Macaca fascicularis: one gene and its partners. The protein of the gene in region 1 purifies or fractionates together with the protein of each later gene. This does not show direct contact. Links are inferred from orthologs where the notes say so. Each region holds a gene or a part of one and is shown in the gene's direction. Other genes may lie near its edges. The genes, in order: SMARCC1, DPF2, SS18 and BCL7C.

The links.
Region 2: the proteins of SMARCC1 (region 1) and DPF2 purify together in Homo sapiens (affinity purification with mass spectrometry; 9 studies listed by BioGRID and IntAct, counting the BioPlex papers as one, with this or other methods). This does not show direct contact. The link is inferred for Macaca fascicularis from reciprocal best matches to the Homo sapiens genes SMARCC1 and DPF2.
Region 3: the proteins of SMARCC1 (region 1) and SS18 purify together in Homo sapiens (affinity purification with mass spectrometry; 4 studies listed by BioGRID and IntAct, counting the BioPlex papers as one, with this or other methods). This does not show direct contact. The link is inferred for Macaca fascicularis from reciprocal best matches to the Homo sapiens genes SMARCC1 and SS18.
Region 4: the proteins of SMARCC1 (region 1) and BCL7C purify together in Homo sapiens (affinity purification with mass spectrometry; 4 studies listed by BioGRID and IntAct, counting the BioPlex papers as one, with this or other methods). This does not show direct contact. The link is inferred for Macaca fascicularis from reciprocal best matches to the Homo sapiens genes SMARCC1 and BCL7C.

Annotation. Positions count from the first base shown.
Region 1 is NC_088376.1:110,605,716-110,609,284, reverse strand, and holds part of SMARCC1 (SWI/SNF complex subunit SMARCC1), read left to right. Parts: intron 1-468; coding exon 469-582; intron 583-1,984; coding exon 1,985-2,138; intron 2,139-3,161; coding exon 3,162-3,275; intron 3,276-3,569. UniProt on the Homo sapiens protein: Involved in transcriptional activation and repression of select genes by chromatin remodeling (alteration of DNA-nucleosome topology).
Region 2 is NC_088388.1:9,032,664-9,036,232, reverse strand, and holds part of DPF2 (zinc finger protein ubi-d4), read left to right. Parts: intron 1-277; coding exon 278-441; intron 442-2,613; coding exon 2,614-2,706; intron 2,707-2,859; coding exon 2,860-2,938; intron 2,939-3,448; coding exon 3,449-3,490; intron 3,491-3,569. UniProt on the Homo sapiens protein: Plays an active role in transcriptional regulation by binding modified histones H3 and H4. Is a negative regulator of myeloid differentiation of hematopoietic progenitor cells. Might also have a role in the development and maturation of lymphoid cells.
Region 3 is NC_088392.1:63,745,367-63,748,935, forward strand, and holds part of SS18 (protein SSXT), read left to right. Parts: intron 1-222; coding exon 223-356; intron 357-3,569. UniProt on the Homo sapiens protein: Appears to function synergistically with RBM14 as a transcriptional coactivator. Isoform 1 and isoform 2 function in nuclear receptor coactivation. Isoform 1 and isoform 2 function in general transcriptional coactivation.
Region 4 is NC_088394.1:29,026,348-29,029,754, reverse strand, and holds the end of BCL7C (B-cell CLL/lymphoma 7 protein family member C), read left to right. Parts: intron 1-1,467; coding exon 1,468-1,821; 3' UTR 1,822-2,851; downstream 2,852-3,407. UniProt on the Homo sapiens protein: May play an anti-apoptotic role.

The DNA of each region.
Region 1 (3,569 bases):
TCTCTAACAACTCAGTGTTTGTTTCCTCACCCATAGATGGGATGATAGCAGACCCTACCTGCAATATGGAGCGATTATGAGGATTCAGTTGTCAGACATACATTGCTTATAACAGTGCCCTGCACACAGTAAAGTATAGATATGTGGTAGTGAGGCAGATAGCCTATGTAACCATGTGTTAGTTTCAAATTCTGCAGTTAACTACCACCATGACCAAGTTTGAATTTATGTTACTTCACATGAATGTCGTTACATTACTTGTTATTATACATTAGTAAACAGTTGTTTTGCATATTTGTGGTTCTAAATTCACTCATAACTTAATATGCAATATAATATCACCGTTTTTTTATGCTCTTGTTTTAATTTATTGTATTTCTAAGGAATCTGAAGATTTTTGAGTTTCTGAGTAACATTGTTTCTGAAAGGATACGTGTCCACCTTATGAATTTTGCCATTGCTTTTTAGATACTTGGCATATCGAAATTTTATGATTGACACGTATCGCCTAAACCCCCAAGAGTATTTAACTAGCACTGCTTGTCGGAGGAACTTGACTGGAGATGTGTGTGCTGTGATGAGGTAAAATGTTTGACTTTTTCTGAGACATTTAACTGTAGGAATTTACTTATGCTTTGCTGTCATATTAAACTGGTTGTTTCAACTGGGTAAAACACCTAATTTTAGTTGTGTCATTTAGGGGTGGATTATATTTTGTTTCCTTTCATTTCATTCAATTTATTTTATTTTTATTTTATTTTATTAATTTAATTTTATTGTCGAGATGGGATTTCATAATGTTGCCAAGGCTGGTCTCAATCTCCTGGCCTCAAGCAATTCTCCTGCCTCGGTCTCCTGAAGTATTGTGATTGCAGGCGTGAGCACTGTGTTCAGCATTAGAGGTTGAAAATTTAAAATATTTAATTTAGGCTGGGTGCAGTGGCTTACGCCTATATTCCCAGCACTTGGAGAAGCCAAGGTGGGCGGATCACCTGAGGTCAGGAGTTCGAGCCTGGCCAACATGGTGAAACCCCTTCTCTACTAAAAATATAAAAATTAGCCGAGCGTGGTGGCACATGACTGTAATCTTAGCTATTGGGGAGGCTGAGGCAGGAGAATTCAGGAGGCAGAGATTGCAGTGAGCTGAGATTGTCCCACTGCATTCCAGCCTGGGCGACAGAGCGAGATTGTGTCTCAAAAAAATAAAATAAGTAAGATAAATATTTAGTTTTCTAGATTTTACAGTTCACATTTTAATTTTTTTAGTCAAATCATAAAATAACCAGGGAAGGAGTAGATTCAGGTTGGGAGTGGATAAACTCTGCGCCCTAGCTCTGCCAAAAAAAAAACAAAAAAAAAACCCGCCAGGTACAGTGGCTCACACCTGTAATCCCAGCACTTTGGGAGGCCGAGGTGGGTGGATCACCTGAGGTCAGGAGTTCGAGACCAGCCTGGCCAACATGGTGAAAGCCTGTTTCTACTAAAAATACCAAACATTAGCTGGGCATGGTGACGGGCACCTGTACTCTCAGCTACTTGGGAGGCTGAGGCAGGAGAATCGCTTGAACCGAGGAGGCTGAGTAGGTTGCAGTGAGCTGAGATTGCACCATTGCACTCCAGCCTGAGAGACAGAGCGAGACTCTGTCAAGAAAAATGTGGATTTTTTCTATGTGTGTATTTGGTCTGTGTGTGGGTTCTTTTATTACCATGGACCTAAATGCGTATTTGTGCTCTCATTTCTGTGATTTAAATGATTAAACTTTGTAATAGGTTTGGGGGGTGCTGTGTTATCAACATTATTTGTGGCTTGTAGAAATTGTTCCCTACATAACAAACAAAATCTGTCAAGTAATTTGTGGTGTTTGATAGCCTGCTGAGCACATTTACTTGTTTTATTGTTTCTGTTTTTTAATGGTGTAATGATGATAATAAAGCACATGAAATTGATTCTTTAGATTTTAACTTTCCGAGCTTTATTCTTTAGGGTCCATGCCTTTTTAGAGCAGTGGGGACTCGTTAATTACCAAGTTGACCCGGAAAGTAGACCTATGGCAATGGGACCTCCTCCTACTCCTCATTTTAATGTATTAGCTGATACTCCCTCTGGGCTTGTGCCTCTGCATCTTCGATCACCTCAGGTAAATTAATGTTGACTTTTCATCAGACCTGAATAGTAACAAATGTCTGTTTATAGCATATCTATTTAGGAATGCTGTTGTTAGTGCTGTTTCTTTGATGCTTGTTTGTATGTGTGTTTTGGTGTACTGTAAATATTACAGTCCAAAAGAATATATAGTGTTTAAGTTAATGCTGTCCCACCAATCCCAAAACCCAATGCCTTAGTCTATCAAATTATTAATTTACTTTTATATGCATAACTCCCTTTATCCTTCTGTCATCAAAAAGACACACATAAGTAAGCAGATGATGCAAAATCTTCTTTCCCTTCCTTCAGTCTGTGTTCTAGAAACGTGAAGCAAAGAAATCTTTATAACTTGTCCTAAGATTTGTAAAGTGGACATCCATATATACATTATCAAACAGATTATGTCAGACAAATTCTGTATAGCATTAAGTTGGATTCACAGGAACCTAAGGTATAAATTTTGTTCCATTGTGAAATAGAATATAGTAATGAAAATTTGTTATCCTTTCTGGACTTAAGGGACACCAAAATGTAACTTGTATGTTGAATTTTTGTTAGAAGTATAGTGTAGAAGTGTGGGTATTTATTGTTTTTCGTAGGAAATCCACCAAGAGTGGCTTAAGTTCCAATATTAACCTTTTTTTTTTTTTTTTTTTTGGAGACAGAGTCTGTCTCTGCTCCCCAGGCTGGAGTGTAGTGGCATGATCTTGGCTCACTGCAATTTCCGCCTCCGGGTTATAAGCAATTCTACTGCCTCAGTCTCCTGAGTAGCTGGGATTATAGTCACATGCCACAACGCCCAGCTAATTTTTGTATTTTTAGTAGAGATGGGGTTTCACCATTTTGGTCAGGCTGGTCTTGAGCTCCTAACCTTGTGATCCGCCCGCCTCGGCCTCCCGAAGTGCTGGGATTACAGGCATGAGCCACCGCGCCCGGCCTAAACAAATTTTAAAAAACGTTTACCCTCTTGACTTTAAAGAGGCTAACTCAGCCGTTTATCATTTATTTGACTCAGGTTCCTGCTGCTCAACAGATGCTAAATTTTCCTGAGAAAAACAAGGAAAAACCAATTGATTTGCAGAACTTTGGTCTACGTACTGATATTTACTCCAAGAAAACATTAGCAAAGGTAAGGATTTTTTTTCTAATCACATGTAGGCTACAATCCAGCACATCTTAGTCCTTCTAAGATACATCTGATGAGCTTTCTACTCAAATCTGATGGTATTTTTAAAAACAATTATGATTTATCTTACCTTTTATATTCCCATATGACTTAGTAGATAGGTATTTTAAAAATAACACTATTAGAGAAATTCGATGGGAAAATGGAGAATTTGAAGAGAGAATTGGAATCTGTAAAAAGAATCATGAATATTTTAGAACTGAAAAGTATACTTGAAATTATTTGATAGGTTTAACA
Region 2 (3,569 bases), on another chromosome or scaffold:
AGCCTGCTAATCACTACGATATACCAGGCCCAGTACTAGATCCCAAATATACTCAAGTGAATATGATGTGATTCTTTCCTTTAAAGAGCTTAGTCTAGAAGGGGAGACAGGTAAACAGATAAGTTATGGTGCCAAGTGAACTAGGGTGTCTTAATTCCTGGGCATCCGGGGAACAAAAGACAGTGACAGACCTTTGGTAAGCCCTAGCATTATGTGGACTCAGAGCAGTCTGCTTTCAGCCATTCTGAGCTTTGCTTCATCCTGATCTTGCTTGCAGACACAGACCAAACCCTGAAGAAGGAGGGGCTGATCTCTCAGGATGGCAGTAGTTTAGAGGCTCTGTTGCGCACTGACCCCCTGGAGAAGCGAGGCGCCCCGGATCCCCGAGTTGATGATGACAGCCTGGGCGAGTTTCCTGTGACCAACAGTCGAGCGCGAAAGGTACAAGATTATCCCTGTGGCTAAGGGAGCTTTGATGGAAATCAGCCTCCTCTTCACTGGGGCCATGCAGTTTCTAGAACTGAAACAGAAGCTGGGGTCCAGGAAGCAGGCCCCTGCAGTTCTGTTCTTACTTCAATCCCTGGTTATTGTCAGGTACTGACTGGCTTCTCTTTTGCTTCTAAGTATAGACTCTCACTCATTCATCCACTTTTATCACAGAACGTTATTATTATACACATATATAATTTTCATTTAAAAAATTAAAAGAGGCCAGGTGCAGTGGCTCATGCCTATAATCCCAGCACCTTGGGAGGCCAAGGCAGGAGGATTGCTTGAGCCCAAGAGCTCGAGACCAGCCTGGGCAACAAAGTGAGACCCCATATCTACAAAAAGTAATAATAAAAAAAATTACCCGGGCATAGCGGCATGTGCCTGTTGTCCCAGCTACTAGGGAAGCTGAGGTGGGAGAATTGCTTGAGCCTGGGAGTTGGAGGCTTCAGTAAGCCGGGATCATGCCACTGCACTCCAGCCTGGGCAACAAAAAAAAATTAAAACCAGAAGGTACAAGAATAGTACAAAGAAATACCGTATACTCTTTACCTAGATTTATCAGTTTCACATTTTGCCACATTTGCCTTATCTGTCTTTGCTAAACCGTTTGAGAGGAAGATGCATATATCAAAAACTTTTCAGTCTAGGCAACATAGCAGGACCTTGTCTCTACTAAAAATAAAAATAAAAAATTAGCTGGGCATGGTGGCACACACCTGCAGTCCCAGCTACTCAGGAGGCTGAGGTGGGAGGATTGCTTGAGCCCAGGAGATTGAGGCTGTAGCTCTGCTCATGCCACTGCACTCCAGCCTGAGTAACAGAGGGAGACCCTGTCTGGGGAGGGAGGGAAACAAACTTTTATCCCTAAATACTTTACTCTTTTATCACAAAAGTTTGTGTCACAAAGTTTTTTGGTCCCTGAGGTTGCACAGTGAAACACACTTGGTCTCTGCCAACAGAGAAGATAAGACTATATATAAAAATAAGAGCTATAAATATGCCAGCATTGGGCTAAGTGCTTTCTCATGCCCTTTCTCCTTTAGTCTGTACAACCTTATGGGGGAGGTCCTGTGTTCCCCATTTCACAGACAAGCTGAAACAAAGCAGTTTAAAAACTTCCCATGGGCTGGGCACGGTGGCTTACGCCTGTAATCCCTTTGGGAGGCCAAGGCAGGCAGATCATGAGGTCAGGAGATCAAGACCATCCTGGCTAACATGGTGAAACCCCGTCTCTACTAAAGATACAAAAAAATTAGCCAGGTGTGGTGGTGGGCACCTGCAGTCCCAGCTACTCAGGCATGAACCCGGGAGGTAGTGCTTGCAGTGAGCTGAGATCGCACCACTGCACTCCAGCCTGGGCGACAGAATGAGACTCCGTCTCAAAAAAAAACTTCCCATGGCCAGCCACGGTGGCTCACGCCTGTAATCCCAGCACTTTGAGAGGCCGAAGTAGGTGGATCATCTGAGGTTGGGAATTCAAAACCAGCCTGACCAACATGGAGAAACCCCGTTTCTACTAAAAATATAGTATTAACCGGGCATGCTGGCGCATGCCTGTAATCCCAGCTACTTGGGAGGCTGAGGCAGGAGGATCACTTGAACGCAGGAGACGGAGGGTGCAGTAAGCCAGTATTGCGCCATTGTACTCCAGCCTGGGCAACAAGAGTGAAACTCCGTCTCAAAAAAAAAAAAAACTTCCCACAAAGTCACACACATAAGCAACAACATTTTCATTTAAACTAGGAGGCGAGTGTCAGGACAGAACCACCAGTAATGTGCTCCCAGGGTGGCCAATCAGAGGCAGGAGAGGGCATGGCTGCTTGTGGCATCGGGGCAACCTTTTGGAAGCATGCTATTTGATTTGGCCATGTGGCATGGTAGGGAAAGCATTTCAGGCTAAGGAAATAATGTGAAGCACAGGGGAAAGAAATCCCAAAGTATGGAAGGGAGCAGGAGCAGGATTGTAGGGTGCTTGAAGGGCGTTGGTGAGAAATGAGGCTCATTCCCCTGTGGGTGGGACCAGGTCACAGAGGAGGTTCTGGGTGGCCTTGGCCAATCTCATCATAGGGGAGCTTTTGGATGCACATATTTCTACCCATGCTAACCCTGCTGTCCACTCAGCGGATCCTAGAACCAGATGACTTCCTGGATGACCTCGATGATGAAGACTATGAAGAAGATACTCCCAAGCGTCGGGGAAAGGGGAAATCCAAGGTGAGGGGCCAGCGTGCTACCTGCATCTTGGGACAGGGTGGCCTAGGGAATTCCTTGTTTTATTTCAAGTGAGATTAGCAGCCACTTCCCAAAGAGTCTAACTCCTCAGGCCCAGCTACCGCAATAAGGGTGTCTCTTTGCTCTTCTTGGCAGGGTAAGGGTGTGGGCAGTGCCCGTAAGAAGCTGGATGCTTCCATCCTGGAGGACCGGGATAAACCGTATGCCTGTGACAGTGAGTGCCTCACAAGTGGGTGGGTAGACCTTGCCTTGGACCCAGCTCCTGCTCAGGCTATGAGAGGAGGGAGGGTTATGTTTTTGCCCAGAGTATTAAAACAAACCTGGGTTCTTGTCCTGCCTGCTGACTGCTTCCGTCTGAGACCCCTGGGAGGCCTGGGGCCCTGCTATATGACGGGTGGGACCTGCATGCTCTGGGAAAGATTTCTGCCATCTTCTGGGGTGGGGTTGCTTGTGGGGGCCACAGCAGGCAGGGTTGGCCTCTCAAGAGACAGCCTGCAGGTCTCCTGGCCTCAGTTAAGCCAGGGCCCCAGGGGTCTGACACTGAGTTTTTCAACGTCTGTTCTCTTTTTCTTTCTCTCTGCCTTGCCCCGCTTCTGTCCCTCCACCCTGGGAGCACCATCGCCGCTGGGGTTTCTCTCTCGTTTGCTCCGCTTTCCTGCTGATGCTGCTCCTGTCTCAAGTGTATCAAGGCCTTCTTCTCATGACTTTTCTTTCTGTCTTTCAGATAGTTTCAAACAAAAGCATACCTCGAAAGCGCCCCAGAGAGGTAGCTCTCTCAACTTTTCAGACTTGTGGTTTTCCTGTCCCTTTTTCCCTCTTCCCTTGTTCCTCCTGCCTTTCTCATT
Region 3 (3,569 bases), on another chromosome or scaffold:
GGCATAGTACAATAATTACAGTGAAGTAGCATTACAGTATTTTTACTCTTATTGTTACCATCCAGATTTATTTCAGAAAGCATTTGAGGAAATCAAGGTACCAAACTATCTTTTTTAAGTTTAGATAGAAAAATATTGTAACATCTCTCCAGTTCAAATCCTTCCCTGAGTTCCAGGGACTTAACTTGTTATGTGGGTTTTTGTTGTGTTAATTATTTGCAGGTCCTTCACAGGGTGGTCCAGGTCCTCAGTATCCTAACTACCCACAGGGACAAGGTCAGCAGTATGGAGGATATAGACCAACACAGCCTGGACCACCACAGCCACCCCAGCAGAGGCCTTATGGATACGACCAGGTAAGTAGTTTGAACGGCTACAGAATTGCCACATTGTTTGTTCACTCTTGATTAGGTGAACTTTTTTTTTTTTTTTTTTTTTTTTTTGAGACAGAGTCTCGCTCTGTCGCCCAGGCTGGAGTGCAGTGGCACAATCTCGGCTCACTGCAAGCTCCGCCTCCCGGGTTCACGCCATTCTCCTGCCTCAGCCTTCCGAGTAGCTGGGACTACAGGCGCACACCACCAAGCCTGGCTAATTTTTTGTCTTTTCAGTAGAGACGGGGTTTCACCATGTTAGCCAGGATGGTCTCGAGCTCCTGACCTCATGATCCGCCCGCCTCAGCCTCCCAAAGTGCTGGGATTACAGACGTGAGCCACCGTGCCCGGCCAAGTTTTTTTTTTTAAATTTAACTTGAAGCCTCATGTTTCCCTCATGAGGGAATGTTTATGGTACATTTGTTAAAAAGTATGTCACTTTTGAGTCTCATACTATTTAATAACACAGTTGATCATAGTTACTCTGTCATATAAAACATGGCCGTAACATAAGACAACTACATATATCTTCTCTCTCTCTCTCTGTCTCTCTGGTCTTTACCCTCAGGCATACTTTGTTTACTGAGGTAAAATATATATACAGAGTTTATCATATTTACCATTTTTGAGTGTACATACAGTTCAGTGTTAATTCATTTATTTCCCACTCCTTGATCCCTTCTCATCCCTTTTCTTCCCAACCTCTGGTAACCTTAGTGATTTCTATGATCCTCCCTGATGTTTATTGCTGAGACTTTGCCTTGAGCTACTGAGATGTGGAGTCCATCTGTGTTGATGCTTTCATTAGCACTCCACTTCACTCCAGCATATCCACTACACTTCCTTCACACCCGTAATATCCCATCTCTTTAAATTCAAACTTTCCGCCCTCTGTTGCCTCCTTCCACACACATAACTATTGTTTCAACTGTTATTTCTCCTCTACTTGTCATTCTACTTTCAGATATTTAGAAGTGTATCTCATCCTATGATGACTGATTCCCTTGAACCCAGTGTTCATTTAAGTTTCTTCTTTTTGTCATTAAACTCCTCAGACTTGTACCACAGTCATTGTTTTATGAATGTACTTATATATTCTCTGAATTATTATGGAAATGATTTATTATGGCAATTCCTTTAGGCTGGTTTCAGGTTTGTGCTTTTCAGTGAAGGTGGTCTGGTTTGTTCACCACTTAAACTATCTAAAATAGGTTATTTTTTAACATGGAACTGTCTTTAATATGCAGTTTAGGCTTTCAGGGCCAACGTGGGTATCTGGTTTGAGGAAAAACTCAGATGCAGTGGTAACTAGAATTTGAGGCGTGAGCAGTTCGTTTATCAACCCTCTCTCACGCCTGCAACCCTCTTGTATTGGCACTTCTTATTTAAGACAAGGGAGATACAAAAAGCAAGAATAGATAAGTAATATTTTTCCAAAATATACTCGAACAAAACATAAGGATCAGTTGGAGGTTTTATTAAGTTTTAGAAGTGAAATAAGTTGTGGCTAGTGAGTATTTAAAGGCAGGATTCCTGAGCAGAACAAATTTAGGCTTATTCTAATCTACAGCTGAACTTTTTAAAAAGTGAGATTCTGATCATGTATTCCGTCATTCAACAAAAATTTATTCTCCACGTGTTTGATACTGTAGTAGGTCCTGCAGAGGTAAAATAGTCAGCTATCTTGGTCTTCCTTGACCTCACTTTAGCTATTGGCACATTTTCCTTTTTCATTTTTAAATGGTCTTCTTTAGCTTCTATATTTCTGAACCATTTTGTTCCTCTTGCGTTTACATTGGTTCATTCTTTTTTTTTTTTATTGGTTTTCCTTTTTTTTTTTTTTTTACCCTAATACCAGTTCTTGACTCTGTTTTTTTTTTCTAGCCTCTGAATCATCCTGCCCTCTATTTTCAGTATTAGCTCTTACCTCTCAACCCAGTTTCAGCTCCTTTTTATCCAAATGTACAGAACATCTCTTGTCTTTGGATTCCCTCAGCTTTAGCATGTTGTAGACTAAACTCACCATTTTCCTTTCTAAGTCAATGTATTTCCAAATCTCCTAAACTTAAAGCCGTTCATTAAGCAAATGTTTATTGAGCAACCATTGTATGCCAAGTGCCATGTGAAGATTGGGAACATATTGGGAAATAAGATAGACATGGACTCAGCCTTTATGAACTTAAGTCTAGATGGCTACAGGCAGGTAAACATATGATATGATATAGTGTGATAAATACTTAGATAAGAGAAGCTAAGATTTATGTGGAAGGAGCTTCTAACTCAGATCTTGAGAAATATTCCTTGGGAAATATTATATTTAAGTGTGAAGTACCAAGGAAGAGCCAATGAAGCTAATGAAGATTCTGAAACCCAATACTAACATAATTATAATTGTAGTTTAGGCAGATTACTCTTATAGCAATATGCAAGATAAAAGGGGAGAAATTAAAAGGGTGGAAATTGCTACGATACTTCCCCATCGGTCCTCCCTATCCCAATAAACAGTGGCTCCATTCTTCCTGTTCCTCAGGTTAAAAACCTACAGTCCTCTTTGATGCCCCTCTTTGCAAAGCAAACATCTAGTCAATTAGCAAATCTCCTCACCTCTTCCTTCAAAATATATCCAATATCTAGCCATTTTTCACAGTCTCCTTTCACCCAACTGAAAGTCACAACTAGCACTCATCTGGACTGTTGCAATATATCCTTCTTTTTGGTTTTCTTGATTTTATCCTGCCTCCTCTACAAGATACTCTGCACATGGAGCCCAGAGTAATGTTTTAAAGACATTAGTCAACTCTGTGCTTACAACCCTGTGATGTTTTAAGTAAAAGCCATATGATATACTGGCCTACAAGGCCGTATAGGACTTGTGTTCCTACCTCCTATGCTACCCTCCTCGTGCCTGCCTATTTATGTCCCAACTACTTGCTGCCCTAATTCACTCTGCTTCAGTCACACTGGCCTATTTGCTGTTTCTTATATGCATCAAGTGAGTTTCTACCTGAGAACCTTTGTATTTGCTACCCCCTCTTCTGCCTGAATGCCTGCAGTGCCTCCAACCTCACTTTATTAAAATCTCTGCTTAAATGTCACCATATCATCTCAGAGAGTCCTTCACTGACCACCTAACACAGTAGCACCCTCCATTGCATCACTCTTTTTCCCCACCCTTTTCATAGTTTTTTGAACAGCTTA
Region 4 (3,407 bases), on another chromosome or scaffold:
TGTTGGAACTGGAACAGGAACACATAGCTGAAGAAGAGGCAAGAGAAAAAAAAAACTGCAGGAGAAGAAAAACCCAGAAGAAAATTCACAGTGAAGGGTTTAGCAGAAGCTGCTGCAGACCTCAACAAACTCCTTAAAACGTTGAAAACATGGACCCCCACACTGAATGGTTTTCATTAATAGAGAGATATGCTTGTGGTGCATTATCTGTTTACAAGCAAATGTATGATTAAAATAAAAGAAAGAAACCAAGCAAACCACTATGGACATTTTTTGAAAGAGTGATAGTCCCTCAAGAAGAGCCTCAGGCAGGTCCTACAGGAGGAATTCCAGAAGAATGTGTTATCATAGGAGATAACAGCTCCATGCGTGTTACTGCCTCTGAAGACCTTCCAGAGGGGCATGATGTGGAGGTGGAAGACAGTGATCTCGATGATCTTGACCTAGTGTAGGCCTAGGCTGATGTGTGTGTGTGTGTATATGTGTCTTAGTTATTAACAAAAAAGTTTAAAATATTGAAAAATATACTTTTTAAAATAGAAAAAGTTGGCCAGGCGTGGTGGCTCACGCCTGTAATCCCAGCACTTTGGGAGGCCGAGACGGGTGGATCACCTGAGGTCAGGAGTTTGAGACCAGCCTGACCAACATGGAGAAACCCCATCTCTACTAAAAAAAATACAAAATTAGCCAGGCGTGGTGGCGCACGCCTGTAATCCCAGTTACTCGGGAGGCAGAGACAGGAGAATCGCTTGAACACAGGAGGCGGAGGTTGCGGTGAGCCGAGATCATGCCATTGCTCTCCAGCCTGGGCAACAAGAGCAAGACTCCGTCTCAAAAAATAAATAAATTAAATAAAATAGAAAAAGCTTCTAGAATAAGGATATAAAGAAGGGAAATATTTTTGTACAGCTGTACAATGTGTACTTTAAGTGTAATAACATTTATTAATAAGTTTATTGACAAAAGAGTCAGTAAGTTTAAAAAATTAAAAAGTTTGGGTGTGTGAGGTGGCTCACACCTGTAATTTCAGCACTTTGGGAAGCTGAGGCGGGTGAATCACCTGAGGTCAGGAGTTCGAGACCAGCCTGACTAATATGGTGAAACCCCGTCTCTACTAAAAATACAAAAATTAGCCAGCCGTGTTGGCATGCGCCTGTAATCCCAGCTACTTGGGAGGCTGAGGCAGGAGAATCGCTTGAACCCGGGAGGCGGAGGTTGCCATGAGTCGAGATCACGACACTGCACTCCAGGCTGAGCGACAAAGCGGGACTCCATCTCACCAAAAAAAAAAAAAAAAAAATGTATAAAGTTACTAGGTGAGTGCAAAAGTAATTGTTGGAATTTGCCATTTGATTTTGGAATACATTCTTAAATAAATGTGGTTATGTTATACATCATTTTAATGGGCATTTCTCACTTTATTTTTTTAATGACTTATTACTGCTGTTTATTTTACATTTATTTTAGACTATGGAAATGATGTTAGACAAAAAGCAAATTCAAGCAATTTTCTTATTCAAGTTAAAAATGGGTCATAAAGCAACAGAGATACATCGCAACATCAACAACACATTTGGCCCAGGAACTGCTAACAAACATACAGTACAGTGGTGGTTCAAGCAGTTTTGCAAAGAAGATGAGAGCCTTGAAGATGAGGAACATAACATCCGGCCATCGGAAATTGACAATGACCAACTGAAAGCAATCATTGAAGCTGATCCTCTTAAAACTACACGGGAAGTTGCCCAAGAACTCAACCATCGACCATTCTATGGCCATTTGGCGTTTGAAGCAAATTGGAAAGGTGAAAAAGCTCAATAAGTGGGTGCCTCATGACCTTACCAAATATTTTTTAAAAAGTCATTTTGAAGTGTCTTCTTCTCTTATTCTATGCAACAACAATGAACCATTTCTTGATCAGATTGTGACGTGCGACAAAAAGTCGATTTTATATGACAACCGGCAACAACCAGCTCTATGAGTGTACTGAGAAGTAGCTCTAAAGCACTTCCCAAAGCCAACCTTGCACCAAAAAAAGGTCACAGTAACTGTTTGGTGGTCTGCTGCTGGTCTGATCCACTGCAGCTTTCTGAATCCCAGTGAAACCATTACATCTGAGAAGTATGCTCAGCAAATGGATGAGATGCACGGAAAACTGCAAGGCCTGCTGTGGCATTGCTCACCAGAAAGGGCCCAGTTATTCTCCATGACAGCAACCACACATCGCATAACCAACGCTTCAAAAGTTGAGGTTGGGTACGGTGGCTCACGCCTGTAATCCCAACATTTTGGGAGGCCAAGGTGGACAGATCACTTGAGGTCAGGAGTTCGAGAACAGCCTGGCCAACATGGTGAAACCCGTCTCTACTAAAAATACAAAAATTAACTGGGTATGATAGCTGGCGCATGTAATCCCAGCTACTCGAGAGGCTGAGGCAAGAGAACTGCTTAAACCCAGAAGGTGGAGGTTGTGGTGGCTCATGCCACTGCACTCCAGCCTGGGTGACAGAGCGAGACTCTGTCTCAAAAAAAAAAAAAAAAAAAAAAAAAGTTGAACAAATGGAGCTATGAAGTTTTGCTTCATCCACCATATTCACCTGACCTCTTGCCTACTGACTACCACTTCTTCACGCATCCCAACGGTTTTTTGCAAGGAAAACGCTTCCACACCCAGCACGATGCAGAAAATGCTTTCCAAGAGTTTTCTGAATCCCAAAGCACAGATTATTACGATACAGGAATAAACAAACTTATTTCTCACTGGAAAAAATGTGTTGATTGTAAAAATGTGTTGATTGGAATGGTTGATTGTAATGGTATGAATTTTGATTAATAAAGATGTGTTTGAGCCTAGTTATAATGATTTAAAATTCATGGTCCGAAACCGCAATTACATTTGCACCAAGAGTTGCAGTTAGCTAAAATTAATTTATTACTGCAGAAAAAATCTTCTTTGTAAATTTAATGTAGCCTATATATACAGCATTCATAAAGCCTACAATGGTGTACCATAATGTTCTAGGACTTCACATTCGCTCCCTACTGACTTACTAACTCATCTAGGGCCACTTCCAGTCCTGCAGGCTCCATTCTGGTAAGTGCCCTAGGTACTTACCATGGCATACCGTGGTATACCAGCGTGGCATGCCATTTTATCTTTTACGCTGTATTTTTACTGTACCTTTTCTGTGTTTAAATACACAAATACTTACCATCGTGTTACAAAATTATATATGTCACCTATAGTATTCAGGACAGTAACATGCTGTACAGATCTGTAGCCTAGGAGCAATAGTCTATATGATACAGTCTAGATTTGTAGTAGCAGGTTATACCATCTAGGTTTGTGTGACTACACTCCATGATGTCTGCACAATGACAAAATCGCCCATGACCCATTTCTCAGA